Linked DNA regions of Rhinolophus ferrumequinum. The protein of the gene in region 1 interacts with the protein of each later gene in a biochemical or structural test. Links are inferred from orthologs where the notes say so. Each region holds a gene or a part of one and is shown on either strand. Other genes may lie near its edges.

Region 1 (7,116 bases):
TCAAATTATCTAAATTCAAGTCTAAGTTCATTGCTAAGACTTTTAAGCACCCGTGTAACCTTAAAACTCATCACAAATCTCTGGTATCCACAAGTAAAACAGACAAAGCTACCTACCTGGCCTACTTCACAAAATGTTAGTAGAATACCATGAGAGGTCAAGTACATCTTAAAAAAAACAAAATGTGCTTTCCAAAAGTAGTCATTATTTCTTTCATAGTTAATAAAAAAAGAGAAAGATTTGGACCAGGACTTGAGCTCATACAATTATTGGCATATAGTCAGTCTAGTTTATTGGCATATACTTCTCTACCAGTCTAGTCAGTAGTGAGGGATGAGGATGATGGAAGATAGGCTTCATCACATTACCAAAAAGATCATAGTAATCAACAAAAAGATTGCTCGCTGACCTATCAGTACCAAGCAAAAAGGAAAAATTAACTGAATACATAGGAAAGCTAGCTAATATTTCTGGGAAGGTCAGCTTTGCCAGAAAAAATCATGAATGCATGATTTCATTTATTTTCTGATTTTGGAAAAAACCTACTTTAAATTCTACTTTCAAACAAGAAAATGGCATTAAAATTTTTTTTCCAACTGCGAAACAGATTGCTAGATGTATTACGCATGTATGCGCAAACCTAGTTTTTACCAGTAAACCTCAATGATTTCTGAATTCAGTTAAGAGACAAACAAAAATAACAGACTGAAGGTACATTTATTTTAAAGATCACCCCCCCAATCACACTATGTGAAAAGAAAACACAAAAAAATCAAAACTAAAATTAGTGAAGAGATTGATAAAAGACAAAATTACTGATATTGCTATATTAAGGTAAAAAAACTTATTAGTCATTCTTCAATAAATGAAATTGCTAACCACCTTTTTTCTAAGAATCTGACAGGACAAAATATGTTGGAAAAGAGTCAGTCTTAGAGCCTGACACAGGTTCTACCACAGGTTCTACTTAGCAGCAGCCTCAATTTCATCATCTAGCAAATAAACATACCACTGACTTCATACGGTACTTATCACGTCAATATTCATACTTAAACTTTAATTCAACTTTAATTTAAAAATAGCAAAATATTTAGGTTTTAAATTACTCTGCTTTTGATATTTAAATAAGATCTCTAGGGAGACATTGGTTATTCCAAAATTTTAATGGCAGACCCTTTTGAAAAGCCAGTGAAAACTATGAATGAACATCATTTTGCAAAGAATTGTGTGCATTTAGACACAATTTCAGTGTCACAGGTTTTCAAATCCCCTTAAGCCATGCATAGAGCAGGAATCCAAGTTAAACCTCCCTGGTAATCTAAAAGAACCATATAGAGCCTTAGAGGAAAAAAATAGGCAACGGTAGATAGGAATATTAAACAAATCTCAAACCACTGAAAACTACAGAATATCACATGTCCTAGTCCACTAAAACCTACCTCACCACTAAAAGTTCTTTCAAAAATATTACAACATGTTACTTCACCCTCAATTAGACCTTCGGTGACCAAACAAAACTATTGCGCCAAATACTTCAATGGTAAACTGCACTAACAATTCCTTATTGGGTTAATTCTGCATCAAGGCTCATTTTCAAAGCAGTATTACCTTCATTCTGTCTATCCAAGGATGGAAAAATCCCAGAAATCTTTGGGCTGCGACTATAAAATATCTCAAAACAGATCGAAGGCCAAGAATAAAATTTGGAAGAAGCAAGCAATCACTTTATTCAGACATCACAAAACCTTGGAACACACCCAAGAGACCCACCTGACAGCTCCCCAATCTTTCCACCTCCCCAGTACTGTCACCATCCTCTGGTCAACCCGTCCAGAAGGCAGGCTGGGCGGCGAGCAGTACCGATTTTCAAAGAAAGTCCAAGGCCCCCAAAGAGGAACTGCGTTGGACTGAATGCCAACCAACCAACTGTCCCTGACTTACTAATTCATTCACCCATTCATCCATCCCCCTCCCTCAAAATCAGATGGGGGTCCAAGACAGCTGCTGCAGCCTTGGTCGCCTCCCTCCCAACGGAACAGTGCCTGGGAGGGGCCTCCATTCCCTTCACTGGAGCAGCTGCGCCCAGCTTATCCCCACTGCGCACTCGGCCATCCAGCTCTCGCCATTGTTTTCTGCCAAGAACAGACACCGCCCCCGCAAGGACCAGGATGAGGAAAAGGAGGCCCAAGTCCTAGGATGCGCTGATTTTAAATCCCTTTCCCACCCCGCCCGTCTATCCCTCACTCCTCAGGGGCAGCTCCCTCGCCCGTCCCCGAAGTTTACTAGAAACTAAAACCTTGCTTCAGAGATGGAAGAGGGAATTATGGGAGTCTAGGAGGGAAAAAAACAACGGGTAGGTCGTTCTCGGCCTCAGTAATCAAGAACATCTGTTTAATAAGAGCATTCGAAGATTTGGCAAGATTCGCTAAAAATGTTAAGTGCCAGAAACCCATAGTCAGTTTGGGCAGGTTAAGCACCGGACGCAAGGGAGGAGCATCATTGCAGGTCCAAAGGGCCTGAGGCGGATCTGGGGTAGAGAGGACCCCAAAGTACGAAGTACGGCCCTGCGTCTGATCACTAAAATGCAGACAAGTGAACTAGCTCCTTCTCCCCACTGCACCCTCTCCCTGTGCCCAAAGCCACCCTTACCTCCATCTCCGAGTCAGCGGGACCAGCGCCGACCTTTGAGGGAGCTGCCTGGGCCGCGATGCCCTCGGGGCCGCCTTTGTTGTTGCTGCTTCCACTGCTGGCGGCCGAGACTGCGGGCTTGGAAGGCGCGCTCTCGGGAGGCGGGGGTGGCGGAGGTTCGGCCGCGGACATGATGTTCCGTCTGCGTCACCCGCTGCTGCCGGAGGCCGGGCGCGGCAGGGATCAGGAGGCCTAGGCCGGGGTGGCTACGTCTCAATGAACTGATGGAGGAACGAACCAATGCCTTCTGCGCAGCGGCTCCGGGTCGAGCCTGAACCGGGACCAGCAACCTCCTCGTCTCGTCGTCGTCCTCTTCCGCGGGGATCGGGTTCGACCGGCGCTTACCTCACGGCGGGAATCACGTTGACGAGAGTGGGCGGAGCCACCCGGGTCACTGAGGTCAGGAAAGGCGGGCTGATTAACAGGAGGGCGGAGGGTTGCGGGAAGGGGAAAAGGAAGCGAAGAAAAGACCGAGGCGAAGAAATAGCTTCGCGGTCCCGTCTTCCTCCGGTCAATATCATCTACCTCTCCAGCATCCAGGACAACTGCCTACGCCACCGACTTTCAACCCTCGCGAGATTGATAGTTGGCTAATAGACTGGGTTGCGAATGCGCATGCGCATCCTCTTCTCCTTCCCCTTGCCACGCCCCCTTCGGCCCCTCTCGAGGCCTGTACGAGAGTGGGCGGGGCCTCGACCGAGAGCTCTGAGACAGGTTTGTGCCTCGGCTCAGTGGCTTGACGCGAGCGCACTCTTAACGCGCTTCTATAACGGCTCAGTGTCTGCGGCCGCGGTGTCTTCTTGGCGTGGCCTGGGTTGGTGTCGCTCGCTGAAAACTTGCCCAGGTTTTGCATCACCTACTGAAACTTGGAGGACTGTGCTGGCTTTAACACTTCTAGTACCATGCTTTATTACAGGCGTGACGCCACAGCGTTGGTGACGTTATCGTTATCCCAAGTGATGTCTCAGTTTTTTGTCTAAGGAGGAATGCCCATTAGTTTGATTTATTTTCCTCTTAATTTTCACATTTTAGCCATAACAATTTCTCAATACCTTCTACTTCGATACAAAGAAGATATTTCCTCTGAATTTATATGCTGAAAGTAAACAAATTGTGTGTATTCTACCATGTAAAGTGAGAAACATGAGTAATCAATAAATAAGGAAGCGAGGCCCTGGGTTGTGTCTTTTCCTTAACCACCAAGCAGTAAATGAAAATGTACATTCTCCAGGCAGCTGGTTGGCTCAGTTGGTTAGAGTACAGTGCTCATAACACCCAGGTTGCGGGTTGGATACCCACATGGGCCACTGAGCTGCGCCTTCCACAACTAGATGAAACCAATGACTCCACAATGAGATGGAAAACGAAGGCTTAACTTGGAGCTGATGGGTCCTGGAAAAACACACCGTTCCCCAATATTCCCCAAGAAAAAAGAAAAAAAAAAGTGCAGTCTCCTTAAGTGTGAAGAGATAATCAGTACTAATTATTTGCACAGTCTGAGGCTCTCTGAAACCCAGCTTTCTGTATCCAACTGCTATAGAATTTAAGTCCATTGTATGCAATTTGATTACAGATGTGCATATTACAGTAAATCATCTGCCCTACACAGGTATTTATTCATCTTTGTATCCCCTTGTCCAGTATTTTATCAGTGTTTATTAAAAAATGGGACACATTTTTGAGACTTAAGGTTTAAGCTAACTGGTTGTTTAACTAGAATTTCAAACAGAAGGGATCTCCTTTTGAATATATAGCTTACAAATTTTTAAAATAATCTAATGATAATTCTTTAATTGAGGTGTGGATAAATGTCTTCCAGCCCACTAGAAATGCTATTTCTGAGATTATAAGGAATATGAAAAGATAAATACAGTGGTATCTCAGTTTTTTAACGTAATCCATTCCAGAAGACCGTTTGAGTTCTGAAATGTTGGGAATCAGCTGACAGGTAGGCCTCAGGATCTTGCACTCAATGGAAGCTGCATGACATGTTCAACTTCCGAGGCATGGTGGTAATTCAAAGCATTTTCTTCCGGGTTGACGGCGTTCGTAAACCGAAATGTTCGTCCACGGAGACGTTCAAAAACCGAGGAACTACTGTACCTGCAATCACGTTCATAATAGTTTTCACATTGTAATTGCAAAAATCTAATAACAGTCTGAATCCAACATTGAAAATATGATTTTAAAACTATTGCACACCGGAGTGGCCAGATGTTTCAGTTGGTTAGAGTGTGAGCTCTCAACAATAAGGTTGCTGGTTCAATTCCTGCATGGGATGGTGGGCTGCATCCCCTACAACTAAAGACTGAAAACAGCAACTGGACTTGGAACTGAGCTGCACCCTCCTCAACTATACTGAAGGACAATGACTTGACTTGGAGCTGATGGGCCCTGAAAAAACACACTGTTCCTCAATATTCCCCAATAAAAATAATTAAAATACCCCCAAAACTATTGTACACCCACAAAATGAACAATTATTAATGTAGAAGAATGTTCATTATATAATGTTTACTGAAAGAAGTTTAATAGTTCAAAAATATAGATGAAAATTTGGGAGGATATTCATAAAAAGTATTGAAAGTGATTGTTACTGATGTGTGATTTTTGCTTGTTTATATATTTTTTTCTAAGATAAATTTGTGTATCATGTTGAGAAAATTTATTTTTAATATTAAAAAATGTACTTTCACCAAAAAAAGATGGTGTGGAAAGGGTGGAAGGGTAAAAAGGTAGTGTCTAGGGTGGTATCTGATGTATAGACATTCAATAAATAGTTGTTGAATAAATATTTAATATTCACATTGTTAAGTAGAAAGACTATAACACTTATTTGATATTCAGAATGTTTCTTCACTCTTTATAGTGGTAGGTGCTGGTTTAGAATCCCTAAAATTATACTGAAGTATATAAATGGAAGTTTCTTAAATATGACAGGTATTTAAGGAAAGCAATAAATAGCAAGAAAAGCAATAAATAAAATTGTCTCCAAAATGGCAATTGTCTTTTAACGTGTGTATTTACACCATAGGTTTCTCATATGAAAGCTGTATAGGAATCTTAATGGGGAAAATTATACAGGAGACATACTTAGAACAAAGGAGGAAGCGGAGACAGTATGTTGGAATCCACTAATCTAACTAACATCAAGAACAGAGAAATAAATTTTGAGGATGATCTAGAAGCAGGAAGTGGAAAGAAGAGCTACAGAAAAGACCAGACACCTGGAAACTGAGCTACAGGGACATTAGCTGAGTTAGGCAGATGTAGTACTTACAGGGTGGTCAAATCACAACGGCCTATTTTTCTTCAACGACTAATAGGCTAAAACTAACAGGTAGTTCTGGAATTGATAGCATAATATAGGATTAATGTGGTAAGAGAGTAGGCTGGGGAGTTGGGCGAGCCTACGTTCCAGTGCAGGCTCCAGAATTTAGTAGCTGTATGAAGTCAGGTAAGTTATATAACTGATTTGAAATCATCTCATCTTTTTGTTATTACAGGCATACCTTGGAGATGCTGTGGGTTCAGTTCCAGATGACCACAATAAAGCAAATACCACAATCAAGTGAGTCAGATTGGTTTCCCAGTGCCTGTAAAAGTTAAGTTTTTTTACACTATACTGTAGTCTATTAAGTGTGCAATAAGTAGCACACTTTTTTATGTCTAAAAAAATAATGTACAGAACTTAAATTTTTTTATTGCTAAAAAATGCTAACCATCATCTGAGCCTTTAGCAAGTCAGAAATTTTTGCTGGTGGAAGGTCTTTACCTCAATGTTGATGGCTGCTGACTGATCAGAGAGTGGTGGTTGCTGAAGGTTTGTGTGGTTCTGGCAATTTCTCAAAATAAAAGAACAATGAAGTTTGCCTTATCAATTGACTCTTCCTTTCATGAACAATTTCTCTGTAGTATGTGATGCTGTCTGATAGCATTTTACCCAATTTTGAACTTCTCTCATAATTGGAGTCAATCCTCTAAAATCCTGCTGCTGCTTTGTCAACTAAGTGTATGTAATATTCACCATCACAAATATAACAATGAAAAAGTTTGAGATATTGTGAGAATTACCAAAATGTGACACACAGGCATGATGTAAGTAAATGCTGTTGGGAAAATGGCACCAATAGGCTTGCTTGACACTCAATTTGTAAAAAATGCAGTATCTGTAAAGTGTGATAAAGTGAATTGCAATAAAACAAGGTATACCTGTATATTATCCCAACTTTATATAATATTCTTACAATGATGTCATAAGAATTACATGAGATTGTGCACGTAGGGTGTTTAATACGGTGCCTGACATAGACTGAGCTCTTGGTTCAAGTGTTAGATATTCTTATCCTGAAAAATCATAAGCCTAAGTAAAAGTCAGAGTCTAGTTGGAGGAAAGGGAACCTAGTGGTTTTTTAATAAGGAGAAGGG
Region 2 (7,146 bases), on another chromosome or scaffold:
CAAAGCATACTACGAAGAAGCATGAAAGAGTAGTCATCACTTTTAACAAGAATGTTTTTTATTTGTACAAAGCACTGCAATTTTCTCAACATTCTTCACTCATTTATCAACTTTTCACTGTATTCATTTCACAAATTAAGTGTCAAACTACACCTGTCAACCTTCTTAGAGACAAAAAAGTGCTTGAAGCACTAAATGGAAAGAGAAAAAAAAATGAAGAAAGGTCAATAGAGATATTTTACAAATAGTTAAAGGGGATGGTTTGGCAATGGGGGTGGGGGGTTAGATTCTCGAGCACCATCGGATTTCCCTGAAGATTCAGGAGGTTTACAAAATCATTTTTAAAAGACATGAAATTGGACCTAAGAAATCAGAGGAACCTGTACTTTGGGATATAAAGCAGATTACTCAAGTTTCTGGACTGACAGAAGTGAGAAAAGAAGGGAGATAACGGGAATGGGGAGCAAAGGAAAGGAAGGAGAGAGACAGGAAGTGAGAAGCACAGGAGAAAGCTGTGCCTAGAAGAAATAAAGCTTGGAACTTGTCACGAACTGGAAGAATGAAAAGCCATAGTCCTAAGTCTGGGAGATGGCCTGTAAGAGAAAAACCTGGGATTTTTACCTTCTGGGTCACAATAAATCCTAACATTGTACAGTGGAAGGCAGTGAGGTGCATCTAAGACCAACCATTTGTTTTTTTAAGAGTTAGACATTGGCACACTTGCTTGACTAATTCCACTCTACAATGCTGATTTAAAAGCATATTTTCCCAGAGTGCAGCACACCAACAGGTCAAATGTTTGCAGGCAATACAGAAGGGCCCCAAGCCAAGTGGGTCTGTAAAAACCAAAATCCAATGAATGTTGACAGTCAAGTAAAGATCACAGATTCCATTGTTCTCCCATAGCCTTTCAGCAGTTTCCCAAAGCTAAGCCTTTCTGACCACTTGTAATAGCTAGTGTTGTCAGATACTGTACAAGCAGGCTGACCATGATCTAAGCCTCAATTTTTCCTGAGCCTTTGGCTGCCTCTGTGATTTGGAACACAGCACATGGCATGGAAGTTGTTATTTTTGGTGGGGTAAGCATGGAAGGAACTGAGAATCAAAACCTGCCTAATCACATATAAAAATAAACAAGAGAGATCAAATTGATTGATGAAATTATCCGTTCAGGATCCCTCTTGCCAAAAAGTCATAACCTTCAGGCCAATTAAGCAAAACAGGATTCTGCTACTCAGATGTTCTGAGTCTGGGAAGTGCCGGTTTGGTAATTCGAGCCAGTTTTCATTTCGATGGTCTCAGGCTCTGCTGCCTAAGAGTGCTCTGCCCAGTAGGAAAAAGCTTCATATAAACATACAGCACATTCCTGAGTGGTACCTTCCAAGGTGCCACAGTCTCCTCACCCTGGTCAGTTGTCCACTTCCTCCTCTTCATTCTGTTCTTCTTCTTCCAGTCTTTCCTCATCTTCGTCATTATCCTCATCCCTACTCTTGTCTGGTTCTTCTGAATCTGTTTTTTTGTCTTTGTCCTTCTTCTTTTGCTCCGAAGCTTCCTTCTTGCCTTTCTGCTCCCTCCTATATGCTGTAAGGAGGAAGGAGGGAGTTAGGAGGCAAGGCTGAACCACACAGATGGCAGCAGTTAACGCCTGTGTATAACTGGAAAAGCTGAGGCCCAGACGGAAAAATTACCTGCTAGAATGATAAGACCTGAGATGGTCCAACTGAAATGGTTCTGAGTCACACCCAATACTTGCTTACTGGACTCAAGGGATCCAAGCCAGAAAGACTTAGGACCAGGTGAGAAGGTCACACGGAATGAACATCTATCTATTTGACTGAGAAAATAAAATGGTCATTACCTTCCAGAGCTTCTTTTAACGGGGTAATGAACCGCTGGAACTCCATCTCTTCCATGGCTGAGAGCACATCACTGGCATTCAGTGTCTTGCGTTTCCCTTTCATGGCGAAGTTGTTGGCACTGAAACAAGAAGAGAAATATTAAGGGTCACCAGACTCGCCCTTGCCACTTATGGATCAGATAGAAAAAGGAGCACCCAGGGGTGGAATGGGAAAGCCCATGTCTTAGATGCACGGATTTTTGTGACATGGTAACTCCCTTTTCCCTGTACAAGAAAGTTAAAGCGAAGTTATTTTTTGTTTTATTTGCTTCAGATCCTGCAAAAAGTGGATGAAGGCTGTGAACCTCCCTCCACTGAGGTAGGATAGTAATTGGGGTTTGTGGGCTAAAAGCCACAAACTCGGGCGCAGGGAGTCTCTTTGCGCTTCCCTTATGTCACAGTCCCTTATGTCACAGCTAAGGTCTGGCTAGCTCTGCCCGCCTCACCAGGATGTGGCGTAGAGCACGAAGACGCTGGCGGCGCGGGAGATGGCGCTCCGGGCCTCCTTGGAGATGTTGACACCATCCGGGAGCTGCGAGAAGAGCGGGGGTGAGCAAAGCTACGGGCCCAGGACCTGTCTCCCCCATTGCCCGTCCGTCCGCCCCTGGCCCAACCGTCAGTCCAGCTGCTCACCGCCTCCTTGATGATCCTGGTGATGACGGCATTGGGCAGGTTGAGGTCCTCGGGCCTTTCCGCCATTGCCGCCACTGGGACCGGCCCTCCTTCTCAGGCCTCCTCTTTAGGCAGCTACGGCGTCCAGACTTCCCGCGTCGCCACGGTCTGACCCAACGAGGCTTCCGTCCCGCCCCACGTTGCCCACATCGTGTCCCATACGGCCCCGCGCGCGATAGCCTCCCTCCTCCAGCAGCCGCGCTTCCGCCTCAAGTCGCTGGCGCGGCCGAACGTTCCACGCCCCGATGGTTTCGGTCCGCCGGGGCTTCCGTCTGGCCCCACTGACACTCGGCGTCCCTTCCCAAGCTCGTTTGTCCGCTTCACCCACCACCACGTGTGGAGCTTTTTCACCAAATTAAGTCGGGCTCACTGGGGCTTCCGTCCCTTCCGCAGGGTACCGTGCGCCGCTGCCTAGCGACAGCGCAGCCTGCCGGCTAGCTCGGGAGACGGAGGCGAGGACGGTGCGGGCGGAGCGGGGCCCCTTGGGGCGGGAGGCGGGGCCTGGTGGGCGGGGCTCACAGACCTCATCCCGGCCCCGCGAGGAGCAAGGTTTTCCCAGTGGGCTTCGGCCTCCCAGCGGTGTGGCATCTGCTTTGACTCCGCGGAACCGCGACCCTCCGAGGCCGAATTCTCCCCTCCCTTTTTCCGGAACGAAGCGGGGAGTCTCTTTTTCAACTCTTAGCGGAGCTGATGTCCATCCTTAATCATTACACCCCTCCCAACTTGGTGGTAATAGTATTAAGGATAACTGCTACCTAGAATTTTTGAAGGCAATCTATTTAGCCAGCGCAGAGGCAATGCTGGCAACATAAAGGTGGGCATGACCAGACCTTGGGGCATTGCCAATTCGGGCTGGTCAGGTAAGGAAAGGTCGATAAGCAGCCGGCAACATCACATTCCTATTCAAAAACAAACCCTGTTAAAATTGTGGTTTTTTAGTTGATTAAATTGTTCATAAAACATCTTTCCCAGTCAAAAACATTACCACAGCTTTACAGTGGCTTTTTAAGTTGTATCATTTTCATGTTATGTATGTAGAAATTGTCCTCACTCCTAACTGAGTACTAATGCTTTTTTTTCTTGAAAGAGATCCCAAGTCACCCTTTCGTTTTCCTGCTTTTGATGAGTATAGAGAAATATTTCCCTATTATGAGAAAAGCAACAGGAATTTGAGGATAAATGGCAACTGAAACTGCTTCGGTTAGAAACTGTAGGGTCTGGTGGGAAAACTCTCCACTTTGATGGGACAGACCTGGTTTAAAGCTGTCAGGAGATGCTCAGCTTCAGTCAATTGCTGTCTAGTTGGAATTGGGCCCCCCTGTGTTGTCAGATATTTTGATTGCTAAAAGGAGCCAGAAATCTGGACAGTATGGATTATTTCCATTTTAAAATGGAAATAATGGCCCAAAGTGAAGACTAAATGAAACAAGACACAGACCAGGTGCAATCCCAGACCAATATTTTGCTACCTTTGGTCTAAATTATAAGCTCTTTAGAACAGAGACTTATTTTGTTTTTATTGTTTTCCATGCTTATACAGGTTCCCTCACATATTTGGTAGTCAATAATAAACATCTTGGATAAAAGAAAGTACAAATGGACACTGTCCTTAAAAAGTTGTTAGGGACCAGGTGGTAATGATTGCCTAAAACATTTTTAGAGAGAGAAAGATGATTGTATTTATTGAGCACCTATTATATTGTCACACATTAAAAGTACATGATCTCATTTAATCCTTCTACAATCCTGCTTAGGGATTTCTTGTCCTCGATATGAGGAAACAGGCTAAGAGGTTAAGTCACTTGTCCAAGACCCTACAGACAGTAAATGAAAAGCCAATGGCCTCTGATGCAACTGCAAGTCTGTCTACTGATTTGCTGTTTGAGCAAACCTATTAATTTCCGGTGGGTAGCTGCCTGTATGAAAATTGGAGCATTTGAAAAGTGAAGCCTATGGCTTTCAAAGTTTTGAGCCATGTAAAAGCACTTCTGTGACTACATTAGTTGTGATTTGATAAGGCTTTTTGGAGATGGTATCATTTCCTTCGTGATTAATGAAGGGGAAAAGGAAAGGATGCTGATATTCATTCTGAACTGTATACCGGACCTTTTAATATCCATTAACTAATTTTTTGTAATGACCCTGTGAAATAGGCTTATTCTCATTTTGCAGATGAGGAAACGGAGGCTCAGACTAACGAATCTTTTAAATGGTGAATTAGGAGACCTTCTAAAGTCAGTCTGCTCCCAAACTCTTGACACTCTACTTCATGCTGAGATGTTTTCATACTTGCTTGTTACCCTATTCTTAATTATTTTGTGACCACCATTTGCCTATATGGACTCAATAGAAATATTTTATACTTTTGAGTCCAAATTAAAATCTGGACTGCATGGCTAGTATATAATACTCCCTAATTATGTGGTTACTGTCTCTCCAGAGGGCTAAAAAGCTGCAAGGTTGGCTTGTGTCCTAAACCATTCATAACTATGGACTTGCCAGATGAGAGCCAGTGGGATGAAACCACCTGTAACTTGGCTGTTTGTCAGCATCCACAATGCTGGGCAACTATCCGCCGAATTGAGAGGGGCCACCCTCGAATCCTGGGCTCACCCTGCAGAGCTCCTCTGGATGCTAATGGTGAATTAGCCAACCCTTGTCTCTTTCCTTACAAGATCTTTGAACTGTTTCCATTTGGTTCCTTTTTGGCATGTTACATGTTTTCTTCTGGTCTGCTTTCTCAGACAAACTCCCAGTGCTCACCATTGTAAACATCTCAGATTCCTGCTTTCCGGCCAAGAGACATGCTCATCATCATTTATCAGAATTTACCTTCACTAAGCCTCACTCTTTATTGTCTCAGAGGTCAAAACTGGACTCCAAATTTCAAGGCAGGTAAATTATCATGGAATCGTCTTTTAAGGGCCTATTATCTCAAAATTTGGGGTTGACTTCCTTTATACACGTAGTAGACTTTGAGAAAGCTGGATTAAAAATAAAGCATCGATTCAGTTAAAGAAGTGGTAAATAAGCAATTGGAAACTAAAAGAAAGCATTCTTATTTGTGTTCTAGGAATTGGTTAAAATGGGAGGTGTATTAGTTTGCTTTGTTACCTTAACAAAGTACCACAGACTGGGTATCTTAAACAACAGAAATTAATTTTGTCAAAATTCTGGAGGCTACAAATCCAAGATTAAGGTGTTGGCAGAGCTGTTTTCGTCTGAGCCCTCCTTGGCTTGTAGGTGGCCATCTTCTCTTTATGTCTTAACATGGTCTTCCCTTTGTGTGTGCCCATGTCCTAATCTTCTCTTCTTCCATGTACATCAGTCATACTGGATGAAGGCCCACCTGTAGCACTTCATTTTACCTTAATTACCTCCAAATACAGTCAAAATCTGAAGTACAGGGGGTTAGGACATCAGCAAATGACTTTGCAGACACAATTCAGCCCATATCAGGGAATATTTATCTCATCAACTTCTATAGGTCATCAGAAAACTGTCTATGCATGCTGTCTTTCTTTTATTTTTAGGTATGAAACTGTTTGTAAATTCCTGAAGTCAGAAGCAATGGCTTTTCCTTTTGAATCTCCCTTTTGAATGTAGTCACCCAGTTGGTGTTTTCTGATATATGAAACTAAGATATCTGTGGAAAACTTAGACTTTTAAAATATGAAGACCTTGTTGTCTGGAATCAAAGCACTAGTGGTGGCCCTTGTAGAGATTTCTTGTTTCCTGTTCGATTTAAGGAATCCCTGGATGATTTCTCTTAGGCTAAAGAGTATAGGAGAGGGTAGGACTACTTTCAGTTTCTCTAGGACTTGAGGTGAGCCCTGGGAAAGTAGTGGTTTTTCCCAGTCAGGGTCTCTGAAGGTAAAGACCATGGCATCATTTTTTTTTTTTAAGATTTTATTGGGGAAGGGGAACAGGACTTTATTGGGGAACAGTGTGTACTTCCAGGCCTTTTTTCCAAGTCAAGTTGTTGTCCTTTCAATCTTAGTTGTGGAGGATGCCGTTCAGCTTCAAGTTGTTGTCCTTTCAGTCTTAGTTGTGGAGGGTGCAGCTCAGCTCCAGGTCCAGTTGCCGTTTTCTAGTTGCAGGGGGCGCAGCCCACCATCCCTTCCAGGAGTCGAACCAGCCACCTTGTGGTTGAGAGGATGCGCTCCAACCAACTGAGCCATCCGGGAGGCAGCTCAGCTCAAGGTTCTGTGTTCAATCTTAGTTGCAGGGGGCGGAGCCCACTATCCTTTGCGGGACTCGAGGAATTGAACCGGCAACTTTGTGGTTGAGAGCCCCCTGGCCCATATGGGAATCGAACCGGCAGCCTTCGGAGTTAGGAGCATGGAGCTCTAACCGCCTGAGCCACCAGGCCGGCCCCATGGCATCATTTTTTAGTCACTCATTGAATTACCAGATATGTCCTAGTGGGGGCCACTTTGCTCTCCACTGGAGAGACAGTGGTAAACAAGATAACAGCCTTTACCCTCAAGGGGCTTTCAGCCTAGTCGGGGAAGTAAAGAATCGTTCATTGTAATGAGTGTGGTGAGAAGAGTGCCTGCCCAGGTGTGTGGAGGCAC

What was found. The genes of interacting proteins can lie anywhere in the genome.
Region 2: the proteins of SMARCA5 (region 1) and POLE3 form a complex in vitro, tested with the Homo sapiens proteins (2 studies listed by BioGRID). The link is inferred for Rhinolophus ferrumequinum from reciprocal best matches to the Homo sapiens genes SMARCA5 and POLE3.

What each region holds. Positions count from the first base shown.
Region 1 is NC_046301.1:17,881,797-17,888,912, reverse strand, and holds the start of SMARCA5 (SWI/SNF-related matrix-associated actin-dependent regulator of chromatin subfamily A member 5), read right to left. Parts: upstream 3,228-7,116; 5' UTR 2,821-3,227; coding exon 2,650-2,820; intron 1-2,649. UniProt on the Homo sapiens protein: ATPase that possesses intrinsic ATP-dependent nucleosome-remodeling activity.
Region 2 is NC_046295.1:65,274,908-65,282,053, forward strand, and holds the start of POLE3 (DNA polymerase epsilon subunit 3), read right to left. Parts: upstream 3,035-7,146; 5' UTR 2,597-3,034; coding exon 2,531-2,596; intron 2,430-2,530; coding exon 2,344-2,429; intron 1,978-2,343; coding exon 1,859-1,977; intron 1,582-1,858; coding exon 1,409-1,581; 3' UTR 1,404-1,408; exon of another isoform or gene 37-1,403; intron 10-36; 3' UTR 1-9. UniProt on the Homo sapiens protein: Accessory component of the DNA polymerase epsilon complex. Participates in DNA repair and in chromosomal DNA replication.